2 linked regions of the Daphnia pulex genome follow. The protein of the gene in region 1 purifies or fractionates together with the protein of each later gene. This does not show direct contact. Links are inferred from orthologs where the notes say so. Each region holds a gene or a part of one and is shown in the gene's direction. Other genes may lie near its edges. The genes, in order: putative RNA-binding protein Luc7-like 1 and RNA-binding protein with serine-rich domain 1-B-like.

What was found.
Region 2: the proteins of putative RNA-binding protein Luc7-like 1 (region 1) and RNA-binding protein with serine-rich domain 1-B-like purify together in Homo sapiens (affinity purification with mass spectrometry; 3 studies listed by BioGRID and IntAct, counting the BioPlex papers as one, with this or other methods). This does not show direct contact. The link is inferred for Daphnia pulex from reciprocal best matches to the Homo sapiens genes LUC7L and RNPS1.

Annotation. Positions count from the first base shown.
Region 1 is NC_060020.1:3,372,974-3,388,722, reverse strand, and holds putative RNA-binding protein Luc7-like 1, read left to right. Parts: upstream 1-6,618; 5' UTR 6,619-6,801; coding exon 6,802-6,862; intron 6,863-6,924; exon of another isoform or gene 6,925-6,925; coding exon 6,926-7,020; exon of another isoform or gene 7,021-7,526; coding exon of another isoform or gene 7,527-7,580; intron 7,581-7,711; coding exon 7,712-7,810; intron 7,811-7,882; coding exon 7,883-8,002; intron 8,003-8,075; coding exon 8,076-8,174; intron 8,175-8,235; coding exon 8,236-8,448; intron 8,449-8,517; coding exon 8,518-8,808; 3' UTR 8,809-8,906; downstream 8,907-15,749. Other genes in the region: uncharacterized protein LOC124192494, read left to right, coding at 750-807, 1,357-1,456, 1,521-1,603, 1,759-1,885, 2,158-2,326; cytosolic carboxypeptidase 4-like, read right to left, coding at 2,663-2,829, 2,962-3,108, 3,167-3,239, 3,303-3,453, 3,564-3,726, 3,808-4,027, 4,097-4,493, 4,619-4,834 and 5 more; protein singed-like, read right to left, coding at 9,736-9,938, 10,026-10,162, 10,250-10,411, 10,476-10,632, 11,622-11,742, 12,178-12,496, 12,642-12,820, 12,912-13,031 and 1 more. UniProt on the Homo sapiens protein: May bind to RNA via its Arg/Ser-rich domain.
Region 2 is NC_060025.1:2,679,341-2,694,325, reverse strand, and holds RNA-binding protein with serine-rich domain 1-B-like, read left to right. Parts: upstream 1-7,514; 5' UTR 7,515-7,596; coding exon 7,597-7,598; intron 7,599-7,699; coding exon 7,700-7,849; intron 7,850-7,905; coding exon 7,906-8,064; intron 8,065-8,131; coding exon 8,132-8,496; intron 8,497-8,556; coding exon 8,557-8,692; intron 8,693-8,756; coding exon 8,757-8,916; 3' UTR 8,917-9,130; downstream 9,131-14,985. Other genes in the region: uncharacterized protein LOC124203076, read right to left, coding at 260-1,031, 1,098-1,320, 1,392-1,698, 1,768-2,067, 2,129-2,239, 2,302-2,511, 2,578-2,807, 2,879-3,064 and 2 more; dehydrogenase/reductase SDR family protein 7-like, read left to right, coding at 4,908-4,974, 5,273-5,851, 5,911-5,995, 6,059-6,419; transmembrane protein 11, mitochondrial-like, read right to left, coding at 6,508-6,681, 6,743-6,855, 6,922-7,142, 7,224-7,246; extracellular serine/threonine protein CG31145-like, read left to right, coding at 11,463-11,824, 12,590-12,829, 12,907-13,031, 13,129-13,207, 13,302-13,528, 13,604-13,774, 13,856-14,352; decapping and exoribonuclease protein-like, read left to right, coding at 14,731-14,848, 14,919-14,985. UniProt on the Homo sapiens protein: Part of pre- and post-splicing multiprotein mRNP complexes. Auxiliary component of the splicing-dependent multiprotein exon junction complex (EJC) deposited at splice junction on mRNAs.

The DNA of each region.
Region 1 (15,749 bases):
CAAGTTTTTATTTGATATCATGGGAAAAGAGTTGAAAAAAAAAGTATCGACTTAACCTGAAATGTTATCGAGTCGCGCGACTGACTGAATAACAGTGTTAAAAACATGTGCGTGCTATTAGGGCGACCAAAAGCATAAGGCGCATAATTATTTTCTTCCGAACATACATAAGCCTTGCCCAAAATTATTAATGATTGAAATCGTCTTATTTTGTAGTTATTATTTGGTAGCAAAGCCCATCTTCTTTGACAAGACGAAAAGCATAATTTGTAATTTGCTTCCATCCAGATAGTCTTTGAATGGTTTCCGGAATTCGTCGCGGTTTTCCGTTTTGAACAGTGTATTCCCGCTATGTTATAGGTCGCTCGTCAGCAGCTGACCGCAATTTTAACACACTCATTTTTCCCCCCCCCCCCAAAGTTTCATAGCAGTCGGCGTTAATAGTTGTTGCTTCGGAAGTCATTGAGCTGTTTTCCTTTCTTCTGAACCCTCGTGAGCGTCCCTGAAAGGATAAATTGAAATAAACTCTTTCGTGTACAGTTAACACCCCACGGCTAGGTATTACTCGAGGGCCAATCAGCACCACTGAATCACTAGTCGTTCTCCCGATGAAAAAGAAAACCATAAAAATAGTGCGCTTCATATAAAAGTGAGAAGGAAGAGTCGTCTACGAGACAGTTCACGTTTAGGAGAGCCGAGAAAAACATTGAAAGTTGTGCTTCCGCAATCGAAATTCGCGACAGACAGAAATGACGGCGAGGATTTCATCTTGTATTCTACTCCTGAGTTTCTTTGCGTCCATAACCGGTAAGCTAATAATAATCCTTCTTGACGCATAGATAAATTATTATTTCTTCCGTGCATTAAATCCCAAGATGCGCAAGATTATGGCCCGCAGAAAAAGTTATTTTGGTGAGGAAAAAAAAATGTTTGGTTTGTACCAAGCTTTGGCTAGGGGGGCTTTAAAAACAATTTTGAGGTTTACAGCTAAGATGCTGATTGATGTTCAGTTTAATAACATGTTTTGACTGCGGGGTCTTGACGTGGGGAACCTAAAATAATACACTAGAATTAAGCCCTTGTACGATAGTGCTTGGAAGGCTCTGAAGAAACATTTCCCTTTGGAATTTTCAACTCAATTTCAAGCCTTTCCTGTGTTGCGTGCCAATTTTTTGTTAACTACTGCAACTGTGATGGGGAAAAAATGCTTTACTATACTACATCGTAATTTATGTCGACCCTGGTGTTTCTAGAACTTTTTGCGGACAAGGTTAATCTTTTCGCATTGCATATTACATCCATCGCTGCACGTCAAGCGCTAAATTGTCACTTTTTCTCTGTTTGTTTTTTTGGCAGCGGGTCAACGCATTTCTACCGCGAAAATCGGCGACAACCGATACTTCATCTCTTGGCAGAATCCCTACGCACCTCGCCTCAACTTCCATCTAGCTTACCAGTAACATTCGCCTACCCGAACGACAGTCGTGATGATGATTTATGAAAATATTTATTTTTACAAGGTACTGTCGAACGATTGCTATGGAGCTAATTAGTTTGGAATCAGCCGAAGAAGCCCAACAGCTTGCCGATTACCTTCGCCCCGGTAAGCTTTAACGAATACCTGCTATTTATATATGATGTCCATAGAATTGGACAAATTGGCACCTTAGTCATGGCCATCCCTTTTGGCAAGATGCAAATTCGAAAATCTATTAGAAGCGCCCTAAACCAATTCCCCCTTATTTTACGAGTGTATAGGAGCCGCAGCAGCTGATTTTTGGACGTCGGGAAATACATTGGGAACTAGCACTTGGCTATGGCTGAGTAACGGATCTCCGTTTAACGGAACTTTTAACTACTGGCCCAACGGATTAGAACCTAACCGGTGGGTTGCATTTATTTCTTTTCTGCTATTTCATTGATTACATGTATAAATGTTCCGTACAAGAACGAGAAGTTAACGTACTGTCCTGAGGTTATTCGTGGATGTTTTCACTAGAGAATCAATAATAACGACAAAATATTTTTACCCAAGGACCGATCGTTAACTTCCCTTTCTTTGTTGTACAAAAGAAACATTAGAGATGTAAAAAAAAACGTGACTGTTATTTTATTCACGCATTGATGAAACGGCTCATTTTTCACGCTGCATTTTAGATCAACCGATTCCAACTGTCTCCTAGTAACGGACCAGACACAAACTTGGCGAGCTGAAAACTGCGCCCAGAATAACCATTTCATTTGTGAGCAGACACGCTGCTACTTCTACAATTTCAATCCATTTGCCGCATTATCTACATCCCCTCAAGGCAACTCAGCTCGATAAAGCCGAAATTTATCAAGATTAAAAGAATTCATCGAGGTGTTAAGTATTAAACCGCACAAATTATGCATCATCATCGTCGTATGGCTTTGAATTAGTTAACATACGTTTGTTCATTCCGAATTTTACCTTTTTGGGTCATTGGTTTCTTAAATTATGGTTCTCTCAACTGGTTGGTTAACTTAATTGAATACATTTTTAAAATAATTAAAATTAGTGCACATTATTTTGCAATAATTTTGTCCTATAAGAGATGCTTTCCGCCAGCCTTTGGCGATTGGGCAAGCGGGCGACTTAGGTAGAATTAAATAGGTTAATAATGAAAGATTTGGAACGTACCATCCATGCACCGTCCCGTCGACATTCAACATTGGCAGAATAAAAAGTGGATGATGCCTTTCATCAGACTGTGTCATATCCTGAAGAGCGGTGACGACAAGGCCCCTCATGGACCAGGAAGAATTCGATTCGCAAGGATGGACTCGAGACATAAAAACGCAACAGGACTGGGCCGACAAGCATCCGCAGTCATCGCAAACACAAGGAGCGAGACAGTTAAAAGACAAAGGTTACCATATGCGTCAGAAACAAAAGCATTCAAATAAGGTGAACATTTGTAGTGTCTCCTTCGCTATTACCTTCGCATCTCCATCATAATCGATGAGTAACAATGGAACTGGATTTCCACAAGGGGATCGGCAAAGAGTCGATATTCGTAACCGATCCATGCTATAGGATGGATATCCGATAGGAAATGGTGTCCTTAACCAGGTAACTACATCTGTCTGTAAAAGAAAGCAAATTTGAGTACATTTGAATAGCAAATATTAAATTTAACCTCACCATTAATTGGCTGTAAGTATACGGATAGTGATAAGCAATGTACAAAACGTCATTGTCGTACGGAACGGTCACACTGAAAACAAAATTTTTGAATAAATCGATGAATAAAACGTTAAGGGACGATAACAATTTCTACGTGAAGGAAAGACTCCAGTAAGATGTTTGTTCGGCATTTGATTGTCGGAAGCCGTTGCGGTAATAACACATGGACGTGCCACTGCGCTCCCAAACCGGCTGGGTACGTGTTACCATATACCGTTTCACAGAGAACATCAAGGGTTGCATGCCTAATCCCATGTCAAATAAAAGGATTGCAAATAAAGGGATACATCAATGTCACGAAAAAACAATGAGAAACACAGAACATCAAAGAAAGTCAAATTAAATATTATTTAACCTTGATGAAAGAGCGTTCGCTGCTTCTCCAAATTAATTACGTTGAAAGTGTAAGATTTTGATGAACACACTCCTTCGCCAGAAATACGAAAGTAAAACCATTGTTGACGACCAAACGAGTTGACGTCGGCATTCAGTATTAAATCGTATTCATGGCTTCCAATCTAACAGATAAAACATTTAACTTTAACATGGATGCCTTAAAAATAGTAATTACTCTGATGGGACGTTTTAGACTGTCATACCCTGATAGCACGACGTAGATTGCCGCTTTCGAAGCGTGATTCGAATTCCAGTGGAGCATTGGGTTGACTAATGCGATGTTTTGATGCGGCTTCAAAATCTTCCATGCGGATAGATTGAGTCTGTTCTGCATCCAATAACAAAGAGTCAAGGTCGTAAACGACTTCTGGTCGATACGAATTTGGATTTAAAACCATATTCAATGATTTGAACAGTTTACTCCTAAAACATTCAAGGAAAATTGTTACTTTTAAACATCAATTTAGATTAATAAGGAAGTAATTCGTGTACCTGCAGACGTTGCGGTCTTTGATATAGAAGGGCTCTCTACCTGAGCTGCCACTCGAATTGCTCCAATCCGGACAAGGAATAAGACGAAACCCATGGATGGATTTCGTTCGACGCGCAAAAAATTCATAAATTTGCTGGCGATTCAAATTTGGTGGTACAATCTTAGATATGTTTCTAAGTTCGTCTTCCTCATATTGATCGGATTTCAGATCGAAATGTCGTCGGTATTGCTCTAGTTCTTCGGCACTTCGGTACGGATTAGTCGGCGGTGAGAATTTCTTTGACTTCTTTTTTGTCCCACTACAAAACGACCAGTTACGAGAACCAGGAAGTGAACCGTCTCCTATTTCTTCCTCTTCCTCACTTTCTTCACTCGAGTCGGACGTCGCGCCATTACCTAATTTAAAAGAAAAAGATGATTCATGAAAACCGAAATCAAAAATAGTGAAATGTTGTACGGCGATGGGGTTGAGTGACATGGGGTGGGAATTGGGACAGGCGGAAGATATGAAAATGATGAACCTAAAGATCCGGAAGAGATGGATTCAAATGGCAGGTAACGGAAGGCAGAATGTGTGCCGTTAGTTACAGGCAGATCATGAAGTGGAACACATCTAAGAATAGTCTGCCCGATTTTGTGGATGAGGGTATCGCGAGCTTTTTCATTTGGTAACGCCAGCAAGAACGCGTGCAAGCGCTCTACGACTTTGGCTTCAATTATTACTTGGCGTCCTTCTTCTGAAATGTCAAAACAATGCCAACGACAATATCGTCCGCTCTAATCACAATAAGAAGAAATTATTTAAAAATCGTGATTACTATGTCGCGCAAGGCTCGATAAAATGGAAGCAGCACACTTGTGCTGCTTCAGTGTAAGTTTCCGGTTTCCTTCCTTTGACTCGAGCAACTTGAGCACATCGAGGACGAGTCGGTTTGCCTCGACCGTTTGGCAAACGGTCAATGTATTCGTCTCTGCCAAGGCAAGAAAAAAAAGTCAAGAATAGTAACAGAAAATACTTTGAGCTGTCGTTCTTGTCTGTTATCATATGATTTTTTTAGTTTATCCAAGTTTTGAAAATCTACGTGCGCATTTGAGAGTGCGAGAGGCCGAGAAATGTTGGCAAACCTGCAACGAAAGATACACGCATGACACTGGTGCTCAAAGGGTTATAATTCTTACTATTCTTAAAAATGTGATTGAGTATGTCCAACGCTAGAAAGCGTTGTTCTGTTAGTACAACAATCTCCAACTCGAAAGCCAGTTCGATTAGTACAGGCCATAGAAGTAACGTAGGGCTCACCACACTCGAAAAAGGAGCATCTGTATTTTAAATGCTTTTGTTTGTTATCATTGGTCACCTTGGATTTAGTGTTATGATGACATAATGGGTTTGAGTATAAAACATACCTTTTTTGTTAGCAGATTGTGCTTCAAAGATAGATTGGGCAATGTAAAGTATATCACCCCGGGTTTGATTATTCCGTGTTATCTACCAGTACAAAAGACATCATTGTTACACAGGGCAAAAAGACCAAATTTCGTAAACACATAAATCAAGATGTAGAATTTCGGGAACCATCCGACACTAAACCCAGTAAAAGAAATATGCGGCATAAATTCGAGGTTGACTTAGCCCATAGAAAAAAATTTAACATCATAAAATTTGTAATCAAAAGTCTTTAAACTATCGCGAAATCAGAAAGCACTTGCCGCCTGCTGGAAAGAATCAAACTACTCTTGGCATTTTGCCTAGACTTTTTTGGCTTCCGTTTACTGTTTTCTTTACGACGTAATAGACAAACATATCGCGTAATGATTTAAACTGGTTAAATTTTAAATATATGAAAGTAAATTCAGCTGTCATACCTTAAGAAGATTCACCAACTTCGAAAAAGCTACAGAACTGTATAGCTTTTCCAAAAAACGTTGCAAGTGTTTCGCATCTAAAAATAAATGTTTACATTGTATGCCCACTTGTTAATGTTGCACGGTGATATTACGTAAAAAACGTGTTTTGAGCATAAAGGACATAAAAACGATATTGTTGAATGAATAGCAATTATCGGCTGTTGAGATAAGAACACAAGATTACCTTTAAAACCGCGAAGAAGATTCCTCGTTCGACGAGTCAACGCTGCGATCGCCTCTGAATCTTCAGCGATCGAGTTCCATTCACCGAGGATTTCTTGTTCCACTTCTTCTTCCACCATTACATTCAGGCTTTTCTGTTAATATTTCTTCTGTGTTGTACTCTGGAAACTTAACTGATTGAAAACCAGTCTGTTCCAGCGAATTATGTTCAACCTTCAGGATGCACTTTCACTGATAATCAAGAGAGTTGTAGAAACGAGTTCACACGAAAAACAAAAACAAAACATTGAGCCGGTACGAGCCCAAACAGGGGCCACCTATTGATGCAAATGCACACCTGGTATACAATAAAATGAATTCGTAATGAGCGAGCGAGTCGTCTTTGCTGAAATTTGACATCGCCGAAAGGACAGAAGAAAATACCTGCAGCGTCGCCTGAGGCTCCTTAGTTGTCATCGCCCCAATACCTTCAGTGCGAGTGTGTCGTGAGTTGTTAAAGTTGGTAAAGTTTCACTTTATTCACCGACATAAAAATAGTATTTTAAAAGTTGGACACGATCACGTGTTTTACATACCTTTAACAATATCGACCACTCAAATAACTTGAAGCAGAATGTCTGCCAAAGACCAAATGAGGGCTATGTTAGATCAGTTGATGGGAACAACAAGAGATGGTAACAGAATAAATTATTTGCAGCATTGGAAAGATTCCATAAATTTTTTTTCTTATGTGTTAGGTGAGAGTTCTCGATACAACGTCAAGTTTTCCGATCCTAAAGTCTGCAAGAGTTTTCTGCTGGGATGCTGCCCTCATGAGATCTTGGCCTCAACTGTAAGTATTTAAAGAGATACTTCTCTTGATCCCTCAAACCTTCATTTATTTGAGAAAAAAAAGCAACTCCTTGGTTGTATTGCTTGTAAAAGATTGTGCCTGAAAAGAATACTCCTTTCTGATCTTGCTTTGCAAATTTGTGTTGCAAATACTTGAACTGTTACCCATTATGCACTCGTTTGCTAAATCAAGATCAGTTAGTCAGTTTCTCGAGACACAGGGGACCATTAAACAAGGGGACGTGACTTTTTAACTGATATTTCTATGTTTTTGCGTGGTGCAGTGATGTTATAATGGGGTATCAGCTACAGATTACTCATCGCTTTCTCAGTACCACATTACACCTCAAGTGGCCGTAAGTAAGACTCATGGCAGTGGTGCGTTGCCAACCTCCTTTGTACCTTATAAGAACAATCCAACAGCTACTTTTAATCAGCCAAAAAGTACAGTGGCTAGAATTTCCTGTCCCTAGTAAACATATTTAACTGTTGGTATATCAACAATATATGGCTGGCTATAGTGTCCATGCTGAGCCAACTCAAGTGAAAAAGGGCGGTTGGGTAAGTGTGAATCCACGAATCCTCTTCATTTACAACGGCTATCATTTTTGTTGTCTGGTTGGCGAGTCTCACGTCAGCCAAGCTCCGCCATTCGTGATCTCTATTCGTATTTTTTAACTTACGATTCTTAGCGGATGGACATTGGAGAATGCGTAAACATTCACGATTTGGCTCTACGTGCCGACTACGAAAAGGCCAGCGAAACCAAGGATTATGGCTATCAAGTCGATGTGAGTTGAACAACTAATTTAACTAGCCCAATTACGTTTTAAAAAAAATTTAATTTTTTCTCTCCTTTTAAGGCCATGGATCATTTGACCACTTTTGTTGGTGAATGCGACCGGAAGACAGAAGCTGCCAAAAAACGGCTGGCTGAAACCCAAGAAGAATTGTCTGCTGAAGTGGCCGCCAAAGCCCAAAAGGTTCGTTCGAGTATCCTAGATAAACATCCTTTCACAAAAATGTATTCAGCCGAACTCTTGCATGGCAACTTAGGTTCATCTTCTAGCAGAACAGATCGGTCAAAAGTTGGCGAAGGCGGAACAATTGGGCGCTGAAGGGTTCGTCGATGAATCGATGAAGATGATGGAAGAGGTATACAGTAATGTCATTCATGTCGTTTTTTCTGGATGAGTTCCATCCTTGTGCCGTCAAGGTTGAGGAATTCCGCAAAAAGAAGGCAACAGCTGAGCAAGAATATCGAAACGCCATGCCGGCCTCATCGTACCAACAACAAAAACTACGCGTCTGCGAAGTTTGCTCCGCGTACCTCGGCATTCACGATAACGACCGACGTTTGGCAGATCATTTTGGTGGAAAACTTCACCTCGGCTTCATTAAAATTCGTGAGAAATTGGCTGAACTTCAGGTAGAAGATAGCGAAGACTATTGTCTTTTTTAAACTTTGAAGTAGTAAATTTTTAACGACTTGTTACAGGTCAAAGTGGAAGAAAGACGGCGTCAACGCCACACTCAGCCAGTGGCGGACGATCGAGAGAAACAAAGGGAACGACAACGTGAGCGTGAGAGAGAAGATCGCGAAAGGGAACGTGAGAGAGAAAGGGAAAGAGACCGACGGCGAGAGAGACGTCGTTCACGCGATAGATCACCGGAACGACCTCGTGACAGACGTCAGGATGGTAGAAACCGACCCCGTTCACCCGTGTCCCGCAATCACCGGCAACGCTCTTCCTCTCGAGACTCTGGCATCCACCCAGAAAATTATTAGCATCACACAATCAAGAGGTATTTTGACAAGAAACAATCCTGAACTCTCGCCCGTTGTCCATCCCTTGTTTTACTAAGTAATACACTTCTAATCTGAAACACTAGATGTTTAATGTTTAATTTAGCATTACAAATCAAAAGCGACATAACGCTAGTCAGGAGCGAAGTTACTAAACAATTTTAAAATCGTTGTTTAGATGTCCGTGTAATTTTACCAAAAGTGACTTCCAATACACACGACCAATTATATCAAATATAAATTACAGAGTTTCTTAAAATTGGGAAAAAAAAAGAATTTTCATCCGCATTATTGGAAGCGATGATGATTGAGTAGGAAAATACTATACTCACTTCCACATGTACACATTGACGTAGCTCACTCGATACGCCAAACAGCAGCAGGTCCCTGGTATATTGCAACTGCTCTTCACATTTGTAGAATCCGATGCTTCTTTCGTCATCATTTTGGCGCACGGTGGTACGTATGTAAGTGGAAGAGAGTATACATTATATTCGTTGGAAGATGAACATGCAAAACAACGAAAATTAAACGGAAATAATTTAAGAAATTTTTTAAAAAATTTGATTCCCACAGATTACAATGGCAATATAAAGCAGCATAAACTTCCTCCCTTTTTAAGACTCTTGGGCGTTCCGGTTACTGATGCAATGAAAAGTGGTAATCCGGATGGCTCGAAGATGTCCCTTGGAAGAGACACACTTACTGAAGCGCATCTCTTTTAATTCTTTGCAAGCCGATAGAGATGGCATGTAATTAAAAAAGCAGCAGTGGTAAATGTGTTTCTTTAAACGGTGTTACCAATTTCCTGGGAACGTGTGTAACAGAAATAAGCGACGAAAAACTACGGATAAAACAGCAAGAAAAAACCAGGACAAATAGGGCAAAAGAGAAATCAAAGTGTGCGTGTTAAAATTCCCAGCGAGTGGCCAGCTCAGAATCGCGACTTCCGACTGTGAATACACCGTTCTTGTCGGCCATTAGGTACGCACCGTCGCCACTTTTGATACACAATTTGGAAGGCTCACGCAGCTCCAGATAGAAACCCTCTGGAGTGTCTCCATCAGCCGTAATTCCGTCGGAGCTTACTGTCCAGTAACGACCGCTCTGACCTATTTTACCCAAAAAAGAAGAAAGATTTGAATACACAACAACCAGCCATCACTGGAATGACACTAGAAATAACTCTTTAATAATACCTTTAAAATAGACTAGACCCAATGGCCCGCGTTCAACTTGGATGGCTTCGTAGTTGGCTTTGTTGCATTCCAATTTACAATTTGAGCCGCTCTTGTAGCCAACAAAACCTTGTTCAGATTTCAATACCAGCATGGGTCTAAAAGATCAATAACAATCGTTCGTCAGCTGTCTGGGTCAAGATTTAGGTCTTTCAGAGTGTCTTGTAACAGTAATGGTTTCAAACCTGTTGATTAAATAGAAGAAGAATTTGCTGGATTCATCGATCGAATCGGTGTTGGCAAACAGATGTCCAGACTTTTTAGTGCCGACAAACTTGCCGTTGTTGGCGCGGAACCCAATCGATCCGTCCTGCTGCCATTCCATTTGAAACAGGGCGTTCGAACTCCTACGAAGAAAAACTATTAGTTGCCCACACTTGGTTACCCACAATACACTCGTTCAATTAATACTTTTTGGCTGAAGATGCTTGGATGCCCCCAGCAGTCTCCAAAGTCCAATAGCGGTCACCCATCGTTCGGATGTACCAGCGTCCAGTAGAAACATCGAACTCGAGTTGAAAAGTTTCATGGTCGGAGATTTCATCCTGGTTAGCCGTGACATCGACACCTAAATAAAGATTTTTTCGTTGTTGTTGTTAAATACGTACTTCAATTACAGTAATGTGCATGTGGAACGTGATGGTGTGTGTGTAAGCACAACGTGGAAATCGTTCGTGACCGTCAAATGTACTCGAAAGGCTAATCCAGTCACGTATTGTGGTTGGGGTTTCTTTCCTGGTTTGTTTATCTTTTTATTTTTTATATGTTCCCTTAGACAATCCGAAAAGATCTACCCACAATACAAGTCCGTCCGTCCGGGCTAAAGAATAGTCACGCCAGTCGCGTTCACACGGCCATTAATCCGGCTTGTACGATTGGATCACAATCTCTCATGGTACGATTCCAACAATGTGAATTCTATAAACTTGCAACTACTATTACGATAAATATCTATTCAGTAAAATTAAACGTACATTTCACAACCGCCGAGTCGTAAGTCGAGGAGTCTAAAAGAAAAATTCTCAGTTGGACAAAAGATTGCCTCTGGGCTGTTGCTGACGAGGGAAAAGCAGTTGAAAGAGAGGGGGAGGAGGGAACGCCATGACGCAGAGGGAGGGTGGACGATGGATCAATACGAAACGCGGAAGCGCCGAGAATCGATCCGGAATAAATGTCTTTACCTTCTTGCATCTGTCAGCCGACATTTGCCAACACGTGCACTCCCTGTCAGACGCCCACTATTGATTAGTCTGGGGGAAAATACAAAATCTCGAGTGCGACTAGCCCTTGACGGATGGCCTCTTGAACCCGGGTTGGTTAATGGTTATGGTCCTACGGACCCAAGTCAAAAAGAGAAACAGACACATCCTTTTTTTCATGTTTTTCTTTTCAGAAAAAAAAAATACAAAAATAAGGTACGTCTGGTATTCCCATTTCTTTCCCACCCCATGAGGGCCCATATTACTCGCATTCTAAAAAAAAGCCGAAATCCTGTCTCATATCGCCTATCGAAATCAAATGTGAGGAATGAAGTGCATCTTTAAAATGTTATATTACCTTGTTTGACGGATACGTAACGGCTATTCATCATAGAGACGAAAACAGCCTGAGCCAGTGAGTCTTCAAGCGTAAACAGTTCGTCCTTGGTCACCGAAGTTGAACGTGTCCTCAAGACAGCCTGTCAAAACAAACCAGACAAGAGAAGAACACCATGAAACACTTGCCATTTTTTTTCCTTTTCAAAACCAAAAATAAAACATCAGATATTGTTCATTATTATGTCTAGAAATTGATCGTGCATAGCATTTTGCCCTGATTTTTGTTTTCCCCTGGAAACAACAATATATCCCACAATGCAAAACAGTAGAACAATAACCTCCTACAGCGACTACATCTCCTTTCCTGACCGAGAAAACCAATCAACCTTTTAGCCGAGTTGGGCAAGAGACGAGCGCACGCAAACCCATTCTTTTTTTCTTTCCACCAGTGAGTTTCTTTCCCCAATCTCGTAAAATGATGGGGGGAAGAACGAGGAGGAGGAAAGAGGAGGGGTGAAACGGGACTCATGAGAAGAAAAATCGATAACGTTAAAATAGATGTGAGCAGCACAAACCTTGGAACCGAGGGGGGCCAAGTAAAGTCCCTGTGTATCGCGCAGAGCCAGGGCTCCGGCGTGGTATTCCAGTGAAAAGAGGCAAGTCGGGTTGCATTGTTCCAGGAGTCGGCCATCTCGCGACAAATAACGGTTGTTGGCTGTGTGGATGGCGTAGAGACGCGAGTCGTCGCGGAATTCGAGCGTAAAAAGCGTCGTCGAACCCCATGGAATGTTGGCGTTGACGTGAATTTCATCTCCTTGCTCACTCAAGTGCGCGAATCGTCTTCGACCCATTGAACGCAGGTTGACTTGAGGTCGAGCTGCCAAGTGGACGAACCTATTGACCCAATTGAAAAAAGGCGAAAACAATCAGTTAGATCCAACACAAAGAGTTCATGAAGCCATAAATTATAGCACCACGAGTTAATAACTGGCACACGAGTCGTAAACGAATAGAGTGTTAGTATGATGACCGTCATTACCATAGTTCATTCTCAGTTGGGGTCTTGGCCGAACAGACCAGCTTGTCGGCGGAGGCGCCTAGAAAGTATCCGCGTTCCGGGTGCCGAAAGGCCCACTTACCGGCAGCCGATTCGGGAACAATGATCTCAAAACGCGCTCCGTTGTCCTTTTCTTCGGCATCACAAGTTACATTACCAAACTGGGTAGACGCAAGAAGAACAATATTAAAAACCGGTCGAACAGGTGACGGTTGGCGAGGGAAAAAAGAAAGAAAAATAGAGGACAATCACCTGGTCGACGGAGAGATACTTGTCCAGATGCGATTTCAAGCAGACGGCGTCGGTGCTGTCGCCGAAGGCTTCCAGAGTCCACAGCTGCTTCTTCTTCAGCAACAACCCGTTGGCATTCACCTAGAAAACGAGTCGTACAAGTTCATTACACACGCAAGTCCTGAACTAATTAACTAATTTATTATTTTCTTTGTTACTTTAAATCCAAAAGTTTCGGCTGTCAGGTATTTCAAACGTGAATTGACAAGCCCAACCATCCATGTCGTCAGAGGTTTGTCACTTGGATTCACATCACCGTTGGAATGGCCGTTCTGACCCGTCATTTTCTGTTGTTGTCGAGTTTTTTTTTTAATATTCCGGATCTATGTGAAGTTCACACTGCAACAAAAAAAAAAAGGGAAAAATGATAAAAACGGATATAAGGAACGCGTGTAGAGTAATGAGGCTTTGTCGACACCACATGTTCTCCAGACCCATAATTCCAACCAGTCACCCAGGCTAGTTTTTTTTTATTATTTTTCTCTCTTTTTAAAAAAAGGAACCAAACTCATGCCCGAGGGTTCACGTGTTCACAGCTGTCACTTCACCCTCTCTCGCTTTTAAACTTTATCCCATGTTTTAACTTGATATCGGATTTTAACCCAAGAAACCACATCCAACATCCGTTTTCTCAAGCATATCGCAAAACCCCTTTTTCTAAGTAGTTCAATCTGATAAGAATATAAAGAGGGTAACAAATAAGTCAAAATCCACCCACTATGTGTTGCATGTTTTTTCAAATACAATAAAAAAAAACCCAGCCAAAGCCTTTGGGAGGGAGAAAGAAACGACCAACCACCAGAGTTTCCGGTGGTTTCTCGTTACACACGATGCACTCACACGAGATGTCAATCCAAAAATTTCTCATTTCTCATTTGATGAGGGTCACGGTCGTGTTGAATTTGGTAGTATGGGGTGGAGGGGGGAAAAAGGGACTATGGCAATCATCAGGGCAGTAGCAATAACACGTGCACGGACAATCAGCCATGACGCTGAGAATCCAACCCCGCAGACTAGAGACGATCGATTTCCGTGCACGTTGCGAAAAACCCAAAAAAATGCATGCATGCTCTCAGTCGTCTCACATTCGTAAAGCCCCGTTATGATTACCTTTTCAAAGTAGACCAGATCTTGAATAAATCAGAATGATGGATTCGACACACACTGATGGTACACCAAAATTCGCACAAAAGAGAACAAGACAGAAACCTCACTCGGGCACCCGCAACGTTGTGGGAGGGAAATTTCGGTGATTTTTTTAAATAAAAATGAGGAAAAAGAGAACGTGGTAACGACAGTCACCACTTGTGTCGACGTCGGGGACTCGAATGAACTGCAGAAGACTCAACACTGCTGTAAGAGGGCTCTTATGGCGGTCGACGACCAATGGGAGGCGTTGCTACTTTTCTCTCCCGGCCAATGGATGCCCTCGTATCTTTTACCCCACATTTTTTTTGTTTTTTCGTTTTTCTTTTTTGCATATTATAAGAAAAACTTGTAACGCAAGTCAAATGATCGGCACATGTGCCCTGAAGCTACGCCGCTGGATATAATTTTCTTGTTGTTGACATGTCTGTCGAGAGACAAACAGATTAGAAGAATCTACAAAGTAGTATAATCACAACTATTTACAATCATCTATTGAGTTGATGTTTAATGGTGAACTGGTAAAATGTATAGTATACTCGTTTGATAAAAAGATGGCATTTTTTAATTTCCGGTTTTCACTCAGCAGTTTCTGAAAAAAGTTTAGAGTGAGAATGGAATTCGATGCACAGTGCACGGAAATTTGTGTTATGCTGGGCGGTGAACAAACACGAAAGCTCAGCCGAGTGAAGATGATCGATCCATCGAGAAGACACTGTCCAAAACGGACTAAAAGTTATGAAATTCCTAGATACCCATGGAAGCGTATATTGAACGATGAATTCTAATAGATATTTTTCCACCGAGTCCGGATATAGAATCAGTTTTTAACACGGGATTTTTCAGGTTCCCGTTGAAGAGCGGCCATCCATCACCGCTGAACCGTGAGACGTGTTAATGAAGTCATTTTCCGACACCCTGCAATGAAATATAGCTTGATTGAACAGCAGAACGGAGTCGTGTGGGCTTAACTAATTGATTTGTATCTTGCGCACACTGATTACACTAATTATTGATTTGTTAAGCCTCTCTACGCAAGTTTACTTACACATTCACGCAAGAGCGCACCTTTTTGATTAGCTTCGTTTAGCAACGGGACGGGACGTATTTAGTTCGCGTCCTTTTATTCCAATTTTAACAGCTGCTAGCCCCCCTAATAATAAGAAGAGTGGAATGCTAAACCAATCATGGAGACGAATATATAAATATAGATCTGCTGTGTAATAGCGCAGTAGGAGCGTAAATTTTTGGATATGCGGAGGAGCGAACCAGGGCGGAATCGGCCAGCTGTTTATTTCTCCGAGCCGATCAGCAGCGACCGCAAATGAAACGAGTTTCGTGTCTTGCTCTCCAGTCTACAATTTTCTTTCAAGCTCTGCCTTAGTCCACTTCTTTTGTACCAAAAAGAAACAAAAAAATGTTTTCTCGATCTACCAGGAAACTGAGAACAGCTGTTATTGGACGAGAAGAAGAGGAACCGGGTCAGCTGTTGATTCTCACGGTGATAAATGTCGCCTGCGAAATACACAGTGAAGGATACCCCTGCTACTACCACCACGGTTGGTACCGGTATTATTCATTTACGCCCTTACGCAACAAACGCTGCGGTCGGTCATGAAAATGTAGCAAGGGAAATCCAATCATTATTTTCAA
Region 2 (14,985 bases), on another chromosome or scaffold:
GTTGACCCTTCTTTGTTAATCTGGAATTACCTAGATTTTTGAACCCTGTTTGAGGACCCGAGTTCGATGTACTATGGTTCTTAACAGCGAACCCTTTTTTAAATCTTAGTATAGACCAATACGAGATTAGACTTTGAACGCCCCAAATATTTTTTTAAGCGTTTATATAATGAAACAAAAAAAAAGATAGTTAAGCAACAACACTCTTTCAAACTGAAATCAGTTTATTAGAACAAGCCAATTTTATAATCAAAATGAGTTAAGGATAGGGCCGATATTGTTCCGAATCGTAATCATAAGTTGGTCGATGAATGACCGTATTCGACTGAAATCGAAATGTCGGTCTATTGAGCCATCCTTCGCAAATCAGCCGACCAGATCCCATCGATCTGGGAACCAGAACTCGATAGTACTGACGATCGAGGGGGAAACGAAAGTGCATTGCGTAATGATTGAAGTGGCAGATAACGTCGAAATCAGATTGCCAAAAGGTTTTTGATTCGTGTGAATATTGTTTTTCTGGAGGACCATAATTTCTCTGGTCGTAGGTAAAAACGAGAGCGTATTCGTTGACGGACAACTTTTCCAGCTGTAAACCGATTCCGTCTTGCCAGTCTGACACGGTTTTCTGACAGAGTACGCCCCAAATTTTAGTTTCACGAGGCCAATTCCACCATGCTCGAGTTAGGCCCGTACTGACACCGTAACCGCTCCCGAATTCTTGGTAAGGCTGCCAGTTCAATGCTGTACTAGTGGAAACACCGGCCGTTTGGTTCACCCAGTTGAAAGTTACTGGCTGTTCACCACGATTTCTCAGTCCAATCCAAGAGTCGACGATGCTTTGGTTGTTAAAGAATCCGTAGACTTGCTCCAGGGCTATCCGCATGTTATGGGTCGGAGCAACAGCAAGATGGCCACCTTGTTTAATGCAGAATTGCTGTGCTCCGTCGGCGTCGACGGCCTCTTTTAGAGTGAAACGTCTATAACACATTCCAGCGTCCATAACGAGAAAATGCGTAATCCAACCTTGCCTGTGAAGCAATCAGGAATTTTAATTAGTTAGTAGAAGTTGCATAAATTATTTTCATGTTACGTACTCGCAGAAATATTCGCCCGTGTGATCAGGTTGACTGCTGATTATAGAGCTGATGTTTGGTGGTAAAGCAGGTCGACTACAAATCATTGGCAAATAATCTTGACAGGACCTGGTAACCATTCGGTTACGTGTCAGATCGTAAGCCGCGCAGAGTTCTTCACCATCCGAATTATATTCCGCTCGAATGTCCTGTTCACTGTCCTGGTGAACCCACCGGTTGCTTACTAGATCGTATAATTAAAATTTAAGAAACTATTTTTCTTAAAGAAAAGAATTCACGCTAATGTAACTTTACCTGCAATCCAACTCCAAGGGGGATTCATAAGAGGCGTGTCTTTACTGAAATGCCGAAAAGGAAGCCAAACGAATCCCGAAGCTGTTGACTGAATTTTGTAGATCCCATCGCGTGAATTTTGAAACCAATAAGACAAACTTTTTGGCTCCAAGATTTCAGGCTGGATAGGCCAACCGGCCCAGCATTTAGCGAACGCAGTAGCGAATGTCGAAGCTTCCGTTTTGAGGTAACATTGTCCATCGTTAGCATGCTCAAATCCATGGAAACATTTGGGTTCTTCTTTCCTGGGTTTCATGGCGGAGCATTCCTAAATAGTGTGAAACATTTAGTTATAGTTGTTTGACGATACTGAATTAAATTCTTTTAGATTTTAAACCTGGAAACGGATCGGACGTAAAACGGGTAGACCGCAGCTTCTGGTGATGATGGCTCCGCGGCTATCGAGGCAAATAGGCTCGCCAATGAAATTACCGGATGGTACCGTCTGTCCTAGATAGGCAGTCCATGTTATGTTGCCGCGATCCTGGGGTAAGGCCATGTTACACGGACTGATTATCTCGAGAACCAAATCTGAGCTTCCTTTGGGTAGGAAAAGTGAACGATCCTTTGCCCAGTGAGAAAGTTGAAAATGTTGGCCGAGCTTCTGAACCATCTTGAAGTCAAATTTGTCGATTTTCTAAAAAGATTTTTTATTATTAACCAGGAAAATGATTTCGGTACTTTCCAAACCCGAATACCTTATTCCTTGTGTGAATCACGAATGAAATGGTGTGGTAAGAGATAACAGGTGGTTCCGTAAAGAATTCAATTGAATTTCCAGATCCCCGAGCGATTTCCTCTTCAACATACTATCGATTACAACATTGGAATTGAGAGATATTGTTTGGGGTAATTTATGATTTGCTAATACCTGAGTCAATATAATTTTTGCCGAATCTAGTATACTTTTCAATCGACAGGTAAGGCAGGTGGAAACCAGACGTGCCGTCACCGTGTTCCACATGGATAGGTGAAATCCTCCACCACGAACAACTTCCCTTTCATTTCCGTAGACTGCTTCGCAACTGATGAACCCAATCCACGGAATGAGATCATCTTCCGAAGCAAAGCTGACCAATTCCTGAATGTCGTAATTGAATTGTTAATAAGGTAGAAAAATCGATTGTCGAATTTAACTTTCTCTGACCTGAGTAAAGTTGCCTGTGACGTAACCGCCATTTCGCATCCACCTAATGGTAATAGCTGATTTATCCAAATCACCAGTTGTTTTAACATCGCATCTCAACTTGAGCGACGTAACTTTAGGCGGAAAAATGTTCATGAATCCGTCCCTATTTTGTCCGATGGGTCCCCAATCGATATCGGCGCCCTCCGTCACGGCCGACACCGATAAGATTTGTCCCCTTGGCGTCGGAACTTGTGGGTTTGTAATAGATATTTTTAGTTTGATCAAAGTATTTCAATGCGGTAAATTAGTGAGAAAGTACTTGAGGTTTGACGAACAAGATATTTGACGTCCGAAACGCAAACGGCATTTGCTGAATCTTGACTGTGTTTCAATGTGAAAGTTTTCGACGGATTGCCACCGGTTTCGAAACAATACAGTTGGCCGTCGGCCACAAGAGGTAGATCAGGTAACAATGTATCAATAAATTGCAGATCTTTCTCTTCATCTGCGGTTTGGATAAAACAGTTAACTCAATTACAGGACTCATAAAAATAGGTAAATTTCATTACGGGAGTTTCTGATTCCCAGCCACTGCAGACGTCCTTTGCTGAAGCACAAATTAGTCCAAATAGAGCTGCTGCCGTGAATCGACAAACTATTGAGTTCATCCTGAAGATCAAAGAACTTGTAAGTTATTTTTACGCGCTTCAGAAATTGATACTGTAGTAAATTCGTTTCCTTACCAAGTGGTCGGCTCCTGGAAGATCACCTCCTATTCGAGCGCAATCAGTTCGGCTTTCATTCCACGATCGCTTGTTGGGAATTCGTTGGAAGCAAAATCTGTTGCCAGCAGGGCAAATCCAATCAGTGGCGAAGGCGAAAGAGACGAAAAAGAAGAAAATTAGCGCACAGGCGGACCAGCGCTCTTGACGAAGCATTGTTCACCGAGACACTGCGGAACAATTCCGTGAGTCTCCCGAAAAGAAATCTTAATATTGAGGTCGGGGAAGTGGTTTTATATTGTAACCAGAGATAAGAATATAAGGCGGAGTTAGACACACACACACCCTTGAATTGCGACGAAAAGATATGATTGATTGTCTTTTTTGTGGGTAATTCATGGTTTAACGCACTAGTAATAATCAATTGTGGCCATTTGGTAGGGATTTTATACTTGTGTAGAAAGTACATGCACGCGTAGAAAGCACTCGGCTCATGCTTAACCTATATAATTTCTCACTAGTCTGAGCTACATTCCGAAATGGGGCACGCCCCTTATTGTTTTAGAAATAAAAGCTGCATGGCCATAAAGAAGTGTTGAAAGATTCAAGCATCCGCATTGTTCATTTGGGAGAAAACTTACAGGCTTACAGCACATTTGAATGTGAAAAAAGGAAAGTAAAATAACGGAGCAAATTTTTATGTTTGTTCGAGTCAAAAAGAGAAGCGTGAATGCGCGTTCTTAGCGTGAAATGAATTCGGTGTAGAGCCCTTACAGTTAGCGAAAGGGATCTGAAATTCACGATAATTCATAATAGATTGCAATACAGCAGGTAGTGCAATTAATAGTGGTTGTTTGTCAATGTTGTTTACGTATAGGAATTCAATGTTGGTATCATTTTAAAATGCGTATGTGTGATTATTTCTATTGCGGTAAGAACCGGAAACGGTCTTTGTTGTTGGTGGGCAATCTAGCATGCTTCGTTGGTTTTATACTCCCCCCAAATGTATTTCTTGAAACAGGACCTCTCCAATGTTTTCTGAAGGTAAAATTTTTTACAGGAAGGTTGATCGAAGAAAAATTTAAATTCTTGAAAAGAACTGACGTCAAGGTTCTGTAAATTGAAATTGTCTATATCTGCAGGCTATTTTATGTATTAGATTATATTTCATTTTCTTTTGAAAACCCCATTTAAAGTCCCATTTCCAATAGGGAAGTGTGTTTTTCCCTTCGTAATCAAAAGGAAATCAAGTCATTGTCAAATTGTCAAATTGTTGCGGATTTTCACTTCAACCGTTTTACTATGGCGGATTTGACGACTCGTTTGAGTAATTTCGATTTTTGCCGCCTTGAAATGCCACCTAGTATCTGCTAATACAACTCAACAACGTTAACATTTGAACTGATAATTTTCGACTGCTTCCAAAACCATAATCAACAACACGATAGAGGAATGGTAAAAAGCAGTATTGTACCGCGTGCACAGTATCATTACGGGCACGTAGGGTGAAAGTCGTGTTTCCATTCATTGTAGGAAGCCACCTCTGTAAGTAATCGCCTTTTTTCAACGTTAAAAAAATGCATTTAAGAGTTTTGCCTAAAACTACTAATTACAAAACAATAGATTATGAAAACTTCGTCTGTGGGAAAAGCCTCCGAAACGACCACCACTACAGATGGCAATATACCACTGGGTAAGTGTCATTAACTTTTAATATCAGGCAAAACTATTAAGAGCAAGTTGTCAGCCACTAAATGTGCTCAATGACAGTTCTTACATGCAGTGTTATTAGTTACTAATTAGTTTATTCACACTTCACTTTCCGTGTCAAAAACCAATTGACAGTTCTTTTCCTGTCACTTAATGATTGCAAATTTAGCAACTATTATTTGAAACAAAACTTCTGTGAATGAATAATAATTAAGAAATAACTTATTTGTGTTGTTGTGAAGTAACTTAAATGTGTTATTTTTTTCTTGTTTTTATTTTAGGTTCATTAGAGTCACCCAGCAAAACTGGACCTGATGCACAGATTCTGAGGCTGCCATTTAAAGGCAATCTATTGCTGAATTGGGCCAAAAAATGGTTGAATTGTATTGCCTGTTTGCTTTTCTTACCATTAACAATAATAGGAAGATTGGTTGAAGCATTTTTCGCTATAAAGCAAAGAATTTCGAGACATGATTCCAGTCTCGAAGGTAAAGTTGTTCTCATCACGGGTGCCAGCTCTGGTCTCGGCGAAGCCCTGGCAAAGTGCTTGTACACAGAAGGATGCAAGTTGATTATCGCGTCCAGGCGATACACTGAACTTGATCGTGTGAAAGAACAGTTACTGGGTTCTGGCTTGAGAAAAGGCACCATCTATCCACCTGTAATCATTGAACTAGATCTTCAAGACCTAAACAATTTAGCGGACAAAGTAAGAACTATTCTCGGGGTCTACGGATATGTCGATATACTTGTGAACAACGCTGGAATCAGTTACAGAGGAGAAGTAACTGATACTTCCCTGGAAGTGGATGCCAAAGTAATGAACATTAACTACTTCGGAACAATTGGATTGACTAAAGGTAAATACCGTCAAATGTGATCTTTTAAAAATCGGGTTTCTGATTTAATTGTAACTTAGCTATTCTTCCTTCAATGATAATACGACAAAGTGGCCATATCGTGATGATTGGATCACTTCAATCAAAACTGGCAATTCCGTTTCGGTAAGTTTTATCATGTTTTTGAATACATTAATATTTAATTTTTATCGTCTATGTCGATTCCAGATCGGCCTATGCTGCTTCCAAACATGCACTTCAGGCATTTAGCGACAGTCTGCGAGCGGAAATCCATCGTCACAAGATTGATGTGACAGTCATTAACCCCGGATACATCCGCACAAGTTTGTCTCTGAACGCGCTGACGGGCCGAGGAGACAAATATGGACAGACGGATGAAACTACGGAGTCGGGAGCGGATCCACTCCAAGCTGCATATGAAATTGTCATTGCAATTAAGGAAAAAACCCAAGAGCTGATGCTCTGCTCACTCTTTTATCGTTTAGCAGTATTTCTTCGTGCAATTCTACCCAACGTTTATTTCAAACTTATGGCGCGTCGAGCGGCCAAGAGCAAAAAAAGTCGTTAATTTCTAGTAGAGAATCTCTAATACATTCTGATATAATAAGGATGTATTGTTCAGTTTGTACATTTGGGAAGTTTTCTTTATAACAAGACTACTTGAAGGCAATAAAGTACAGCTTCCAAAGGGTAATGCTAGCTGCTGTAACACAGATGGTGCAATGAAGAGTCTTCCGTTTGTTATCATCTCTTCTTACGAGAACTATGGGACTGGAAGTGGTCAACCTATTAACTGGTAATTTGGCCAGTCTTTTTGTATCCATTTCAACCTGAAGCAAAACCGATATCTGCTATGACCTTTGCCAACTTAGTCAAGTGTATGTATTCTACCTGGTATTTACAGCAAGGATCAAATTGCCAAGATGCTGTGTACAGTCCTGTACACAGCAAGGAAAGGAGACCTAATGGAGTGTATATGTATGGACGATTATCACAGAAAAATCCTAAACAGGAAATTTAACAAAATTAGACTTATATAATGCAACAACTGAATACTAGCAACAATTTACCTGTTATGACCGAACCAAGTCCAGCAAGTACTGCTGTCTTGTGAAGACAATTTCCAACGGCGATCCATCGCGCCGTTTCATCGCCTAGTCGAACTGGCTCAATGACAATTACTGGAACAGCAGCTTCCAGAGCTCGTTCTAGTTCTAGCTCAAATCTTTCCTGGGCGTTTTCACCGTCATAGATTTCTCTTACGACCGCTATTTCCGCCGAATGTGGCCCGCTAAAATTTGAAACAGCATCATAATATTATTGTGACGACCGGAAGCTTATAATATTTTTAAACAGTCATGCAAGGGATTACCTGCTCTTTCTCCTGTCTGCCATTTCTTTTGCCACTTGGCCAGTGTTTTCAAGTGGTTGCTATACGTACTGACGGCCTTGTAGAGTTTCGGCAACAGCCCAAAAACAATCATTGCCGAAACATTTTTTCGTTGCCGTCGGCTGTCGTACAACTAGTTTAACATTTTAATAATAAAAAATTAAATAATCTTTGATTTAATCTTTAAAAAATTCACATAACTTGTTCCAATTAAAAAACTATAACTTTACATTCATAAAAATAAAAACGAGAATCTATTTAATACAGGCAACGTTGTGCAAGTGGCATTAAGCGTCTGTTTTTAACGCTCCTCCCCTTTATCAACTCGTATGTTTTTCAATAAAACTTTCTGAAAATGTGAGTAAATCGAGTTAAATCCTCAGCATCATTTAATAATTTAGTAAATTTTTACGATGAATCTAAATTAACAATATTTTAAATTTGTGTAAATCACTTAGGCCGGACAAAGAAACTGGCGATCGAAAAGACCGGAAAGCCGGCGAAGATTCCAGTAAATCAAAAGATGCTAGCAAAGACAAAAAGGATACCAAAGATTCTGGGAAGAAAAAAGGCAGAGCTTCAAGCAGTGATAGTTCTTCAAGCAGAAGGTAGTGTTAAACTTTGTTGTGTTTAATGAAACCTTCAGCTTAATGTGACATTTCAGTTCTAGATCGTCCAGCAGCAGCAGTAGCAGCAGCTCTAGTTCACGATCATCCAGCAGTTCTTCTTCAGACTCTAGATCATCATCTAGTTCATCTAGCTCTTCTGATTCATCAGGTTCCTCACGTTCCAGCGGTTCATTAAAGAAGCACCAGAAAAAGAGGTAATTATTCTAGTTGGATGACGGTAAACAAGTTTCTTGTGATAACAGCATTTTTGTTGACGTACAGAGCCCCAGCGAGTGATAAGCCAAAAGTTGATAGCAAACCTGATGAAGAGAAAACAAAACTGGATGGAGAAAAGAATGTTGACAAAGACAGAAACAAAGAAAACAAACGATCCCGCTCTACATCTCCCCGGAGGCGTCGTCGCGATCGTTCACCTACACCCAAGCCACTTCGAATCCACATCGGCCGACTGACGCGCAATGTCAACAAGGAACACATTAACGAAATTTTCTCCGTTTACGGAACCATCAAAGCTGTCGAGTTTCCCAACGAACGTGCTGGGTTAAGTCACCTCCACCGGGGCTTTGCTTACATCGAGTTCAGTACTGCCGACGAAGCAGAAAATGCAATGAAGCATATGGACGGAGGTAAAGTAACGTTTGTTGGTTACTGCTATAAATACGTTTTTAATCTCAAATAATCTCTAGGCCAAATTGATGGACAAGAAATCACAGCCGCCCCTGTGCTGATCCCTAAAAACCGTCCACCACCACCTCGACGGAATTCACCACCCAGAAATCGACCGGGCCGTTGGGGCATGGGTGGTGGTCGATCTCCACCAAGGTAATATACTACTAAAGTAAATCTTTATTCCGGTTATTTGCATCTGTTGTGTTCATTTCTACAGATTCCGAAGACGTTCTCCCCTACGTCGACGATCTCCTCCACGAAGGGACAGAGATAGGAGACCACCTCCACCTGCCCGTTCCAGGTCTCGTTCACCCAATCGCCGTTCAGGTGGCAACAATCGCCGTTACAGTCGCAGTTCATCATCTTCTTCGCGTTAAATAAGACAATCATGATTTATTTAACGTTGAAGAACGTCCACTCTTTTTTTTTTATCAACTCAACTTTGTGCTCGTGATTCAGATTTTGCTTTCGCCCGAGCTGTTGCTGATGAGTCAATAGCGTAAATGCCACACGTATTCCGTAAATTTTCCCTTTTTCGATGGAATCCTGCAAGACGATACAATATCACCTGACAATGGCATTTGTCCTTCAGTTGTTTCTACTACATTTCTTTTTCATTTGAAATGAAAAGTCTTATTATTATTTTATCTATCAATTTAAAAAGTTACCCAACCGCAAGTTTATGTTGCCATCTGACGTTTTCCAGTAATCCGAGTAGTAATGCTTTCTTTTTAAAGTCAATGGCTGCTGGAGGAGAAACCGGATAAGCCTTAAAAAAAAACTAGTTGGATCTGTTTGTTGGAAACTCAATAGAAGTGTGTGTAGCGGGACATGACAAGTCAGAACACTTTCATTCCGGTTTACAAGTGACATGTGAAAGGCGGGAGATACGGTTTCGCCTCGGTGTTATAAACACAAAGAAAGGAACAGCAAATTTTTATCAGGGGGAGGGTAGAAATTTCTCACAACCGGAATGTAGCTGTTTCTAACTGCTTTTTTCCTCCTATGAAAAAGTCGATTTGGTAAATTGTGTTGTCTTCCTACATCCGGCAACGGCGCGCCCAACAGTTGGAACAAATTTGTTTGCACAGCTGTACTCAATTACGGAAGTCTGTTTGGTTCTTATTATCCTCTTAGCAGTCAGCGAATCGCATTGGAAATGTTTTTGAGAATATTTTGTTTGTTTTTTTTTTCTTCGACCACAATCTCTTCCACGGCTGAATCAACTTGCACCTCGATCCCCAACCGGTTAAATCGTAGACATGAGCATCACGATAATTGTAATTTAATGGACTTTCAAGGCGGGATAAGTAACGCGGCTGAAATTATTTCGCCTAAGGTCAAAACTTGTTTAAGAGTTAAAAGAGTTTAGTCAGAACAAAATATCAATCTTTTATTATTTTCGTCCGGAACGGAAAAAAGTTCTCACGACCGTAACAAAGACGACATGCCCCTCTAATTTTTGTTTGTACTTTGTAAACTATCCGTGTAGTTGCACTGAAGTATAATAGGCCCGTACTATACTTATCTGCTGGTCCCGTTGAGAATAGAAATAAGAGCTTCCCTACCATAAACATGTTGTCCATAGAATAGAGCCCGTTAATGATGTTATTGATACGGTTTCTCCCTTCCCATCCCTTATTGCGGTTAGTCACTTCGCTTTCACGATCGAGTGGACTGTGGGATTGTCGAACTTTTTGTATACAAACGCCGGATTTCCCCCCCTTCAACACGACGGAGGGAAAAAACAAACAGAAAAAATATGTGAAGAGAAATTTCTGGATTTCAGAATTGGAAAATTTAAACAAAAGACAAATGTAGGACGTTTCTTAAAGGAAGATTCAATCTACAGTTCTGGTCTAATACCATATTTAGTTCCAGGTCCATGATAAAATTTACTAATTCAATACTTTCTAATGAAAATGTTGTAATTACACCACCACGGGGTCCACAGCAGCGAGCGAAACCGGTTATTAGACTTCATTTAAATAATCTTCCTGTTGGTACATCGAAGGAGAAGGTAAAATGCAATTGCAGTCGCGAAAAATTGCCATGGTTACGTAATCATTGAATTTTAGCTATCGTAACTCAGTTTTATAGAGTCGTCGAGCAGCAGCAGTCACGAACGATTGATTATTGATCAAATCGCTTCGAATAAACTGTAGCAAGCAGTAATAAGCACAGCATAGAAAAATCGATGGGCGTGTATGGAATGCAGCCGACGTTTGAAATTAGCTTTGGTATACTCACACTGGCATAGCAGCCGCCATAGTCAAAGAAAATGGGGAAAAGAAAAAGAAAAGAGTGAGTGTATTAAAAGGCACGTTGGCAGCCCGAAGTCGGTCAGTCTCCCGTCGAATGTTTTTAGCAGTAGCACGTCTTTCGACGATGGTCTCATCATCTTATCAACATTCTCTTATCACCGAGTGACTCTACACAACAAAAATTTGGCCACATTTCGAGAGGGGAGGATTTTCTGCACAGCACCAATTGATTTCGTGATGTTGTTGTTATTGTTGTTGTAGTCGAGCTATAAATCTCGTGCTGAGAGAGAAAAAATGTTCGTGAGCTGATCGCACCACCACAGCACACACACAAAGTTTAAGGTTAATAGTGAAAGTTGTGGTTATTTTTTCCCCTTGGTGAGTGACGGTCGAGAACGAAAAAACAACAAACTCCCAGACTCCCCATATTATAAATCAGGTTGAGGTAATGCTTTGTCTATCCATTATTCTCAGTGAAAGGGTTTTCCTTTCATTCTTTAACAATTGAATAACACCACAATTTGTTTTTGTTTTTTGTTCGGTTTCTTTCTGGGCCATTACCCAATAGTTTCCTTTTGAAAAGGGATGCCAAGACAATTACGATCGGACGCTGGGCCGCCGTCAATACCATCAACGAGATCAACAAGAGAATTGTAGTGATGAAGTGGAAGGAAAGAGTGGCTCTGGCTTTGGGCGTGAGTGTTGTCCTCCTCACATCCGTATTAGTGCTTGATATACGCTACGCCTCCAGTGGAGGACGAGCAGAGCAACCCGATGCCGGATTTATTCTTCCAGCGCTCAGGCACGGAACAGCCAGACAAAAAGAGGGGAAAGAGTTTCAACGACAATTTCTCGACAAACACAATCCTGCTGCTGTAGTGCCGTCTAATAATCTAGAACATCCAGTTCTTCCTACTGCACAGCAGCAGCAGCCCAATGCCAACAACAATGACGATATGGAGCTCGGGGTCGTTGCGAGCAACGCGACACTCAACGATGACGACCCAGCTGCCCAACAAAGGTAATTTTACATTGTGAAAAAAAGGAACTATCTTTTTTGGTGTTCAGCTAAAAGAAAAAGATAAGATTCGAGACACGAATGAAAAGCAAAAATTCAAAACGGGTTGGCTGGGGTGGAGAATTGAGGTTAACAACTATCACTTCTGTCACCAATTTTCTTTACCGGGATGAGATCTAGAAAGCAGAAAGCTGCATTATAACTAACCTACGTACGTACACGTTGTACTGATTTCCAACTTTGGATAACGGCGGAAACAAAGCCCCCGATTACTTTACGACTTGAAAGATATCTCTGAAGAAAAAAGAGGACGAAAGAGCTGAACGAAAACTATTTTAATGACACTTTTGATCAAATCGACGGGAAAAGGAACCGCTATCTTTTAACGATGGGGGGGTTTTTACGACTGTTATTTGTAGCGGGCAGATGAGCTTATAGACATATGTGTATACAATTGTGTGGGGACTTTCTCTCTTCGTTGCAACTGTGAATATAAATTTTGCCAGTCAGTCAACAAATAGCAAAAACCGGACTGGAGAAAGAAAGTACCGTACACAGCAATTCTTTTTAACACAATCGATCATAGCCGCTAGCTGGGCACGTTCCGCATGTCCACCTCCATTTTTTGGTACTTGGTATTGGTGGTCGCTGAGGCTAGAATTGCTATTATCTATGATTTTCATGCGTGGTGGCCTCGTTTATTAAAAATTTCGCCAGACCATTTTATTTTCATTTAATCAACCCCAATGTGTATTTTGTCCTTTAAAGCAACAATGAACAGGGTTCCAAGGCGGATGTGATGCGGGACCTTTTAAAGGGCAAAAGGTCTTCGCCATCGGATACAAATAAAACCTACAAGAATTCCGATGGCAGTGGTTTGGATCACCGTAAAAGTCAATTCAAAGATCTTATGAAATACATTGTGCCGGCAGAGCTGAGTCGGCCCGTTCAAGGTCACCTGCGTGAGTTGGACGTGACTGTTATGCGGCTGCGCAACGTTAGTCTTAGGTAAGTAAGGGGGGAAAAAACCCTGCATGTAATAATCTAACGGCATCTGTCATTAAAATGGATTTTTGTAATAAAAGTGAGGATGCCACTTCTTGGGAAAAGTTTCACGTCTCTATTTCGAAGGAAGAGTTATACCACGAGGATGACCCAATGATCGACGAACTCCTGCAAGACATGACTAGTCTAGAATTTTACAACATCAGTAAGTCTTTCGTCGGTTATAAACCGGTTTTTGTTTCTCACGAATGAATTCACGAATCATTTTGTTATTGTATTTTTTTCTTTCTGCGTGAAAATAGGTCAAAAAGAAGGTGGTACGCAGCTGAAACTAGTCATCGAGTTTGCCCCAGGGGGGATGGCGATGTTGAAACCCATGAGGTGAAGGGTTTTTTTTATTCTTTTTTTTGGTACTTGGGTTATTCAAAACATTCGTCCTAATTTTTTTGAAAAATTTATTTTGTTCACCTTTCAGATTCCCGCGTGAACAGGAAACTTTACCTAATCACTTTTACTTTACCGATTACGAACGTCACAACGCCGAGATAGCCGCCTTCCACCTTGATCGAATTATGGGCTTCCGGCGAGCTCCACCCGTTGTCGGTCGATTGGTCAACATGACCACCGAATTGTATGCCCTTGCCACTGGCGAGCTATTGCGAACTTTCTTTATTTCTCCCGCACAAAATCTCTGTTTCCATGGTAACCACGGTGACAGCCAATCTCTGGGTGACCAGACTCTGTGATTCACGATTTCTCTTCTGTGTATATGTGCAGGTAAATGCAGCTATTACTGTGATACCGGCCACGCTATTTGCGGTCATCCAGACCAAATGGAAGCATCACTGGCCGCTTTTTTGCCCGATAAAGAATTTGTGCCAAGAAAAACTTGGCGCCACCCATGGCGAAGATCCTACCACAAACGTAAAAAAGCCCAATGGGAAGAAGGTAAAGGATACAGAATGAAAAGTTATCACACGTTTTATAGCCGATTTATTGAATTTCACTGTTTTTCCTCCTCAAAAATAGATGATCAATACTGCGATCAAGTCCGCCAACTTCCTCCTTACAACGAAGGACGCCGATTGGTCGATTTAATCGATTTGGCCATCTTCGATTTCTTGGCCGGGAACATGGATCGTCATCATTATGAAACTCTGAGTTTGTTTGGCAATCAAACGTTCCCCATTCACTTGGATCAAGGTCGTGCGTTCGGTCGACCCAATCACGACGAAATGTCAATTTTGGCTCCACTATACCAATGTTGCCTTGTGAGGCGGACGACGCTCGCAACTCTTTTACGTTTTCATCACGGGCCATTTCGACTCAGTTCTCTCATGCGCAAGTCGTTGGCACGCGATCCACTTGATCCGATTTTAGCTGCGGGACATTTCGATGCCATGGACCGCCGCGTCGCCATTACATTACGTGTCATTCGCCATTGTTTGAGTAGACATGAAGCCGATCAAGTTATTGTCGGTCTCGCAGATTGGAAAGATAAGAATTCAAAAATGGGAAATTTATAATAATGACGAATGTCGTATTTTTTTTTTTAATATCACGTCTTCTTCAAAAACGTTTGACAACATGTTCATATTATATAAACTTGTTTATTGATTTAATTGGCGGAATTTCCACTTGATATTATACTAACATGATTGGATATTTTGTAGGTTTTTGACGTAAATTTTTCGTAAATATTGTGAAAAAAAAAGAATACAGCTCAAGTATTTTAACGAATAAAAAAAAAGTTTTAAATATAAACAATGTTTTGTTTTTATCGGTCAACGTTTGGCAACGTTGTTCGTCTATTATTAAAATTCAAGTTTTCTTTTCAATCGAGTCTTGGTCACCACATGTTTCACATGTGCTCTTTTCGTCTTCGAACTAATAAGTAAAGGAAAATGAAGCGCCAATACATAGATATGAAGAATGGATCAATTCGAGATCCAAGATTTAGGAATAATAACAACGAGAAACTTAGAAAGAATTTGAGCTTGATTGACATTGAAGAGTTCGACGGTATCAACACGATTCTTTGAAACATTTTTCTTTCTTGTGTATTTTATTTGTTCTTTGTTCTATTCTCCAGGGAATTTCCCAGAGTTTACGAGGCCCAAGAACGTGGGTTCGTTTTCATTAGATATCCACAGAAATTA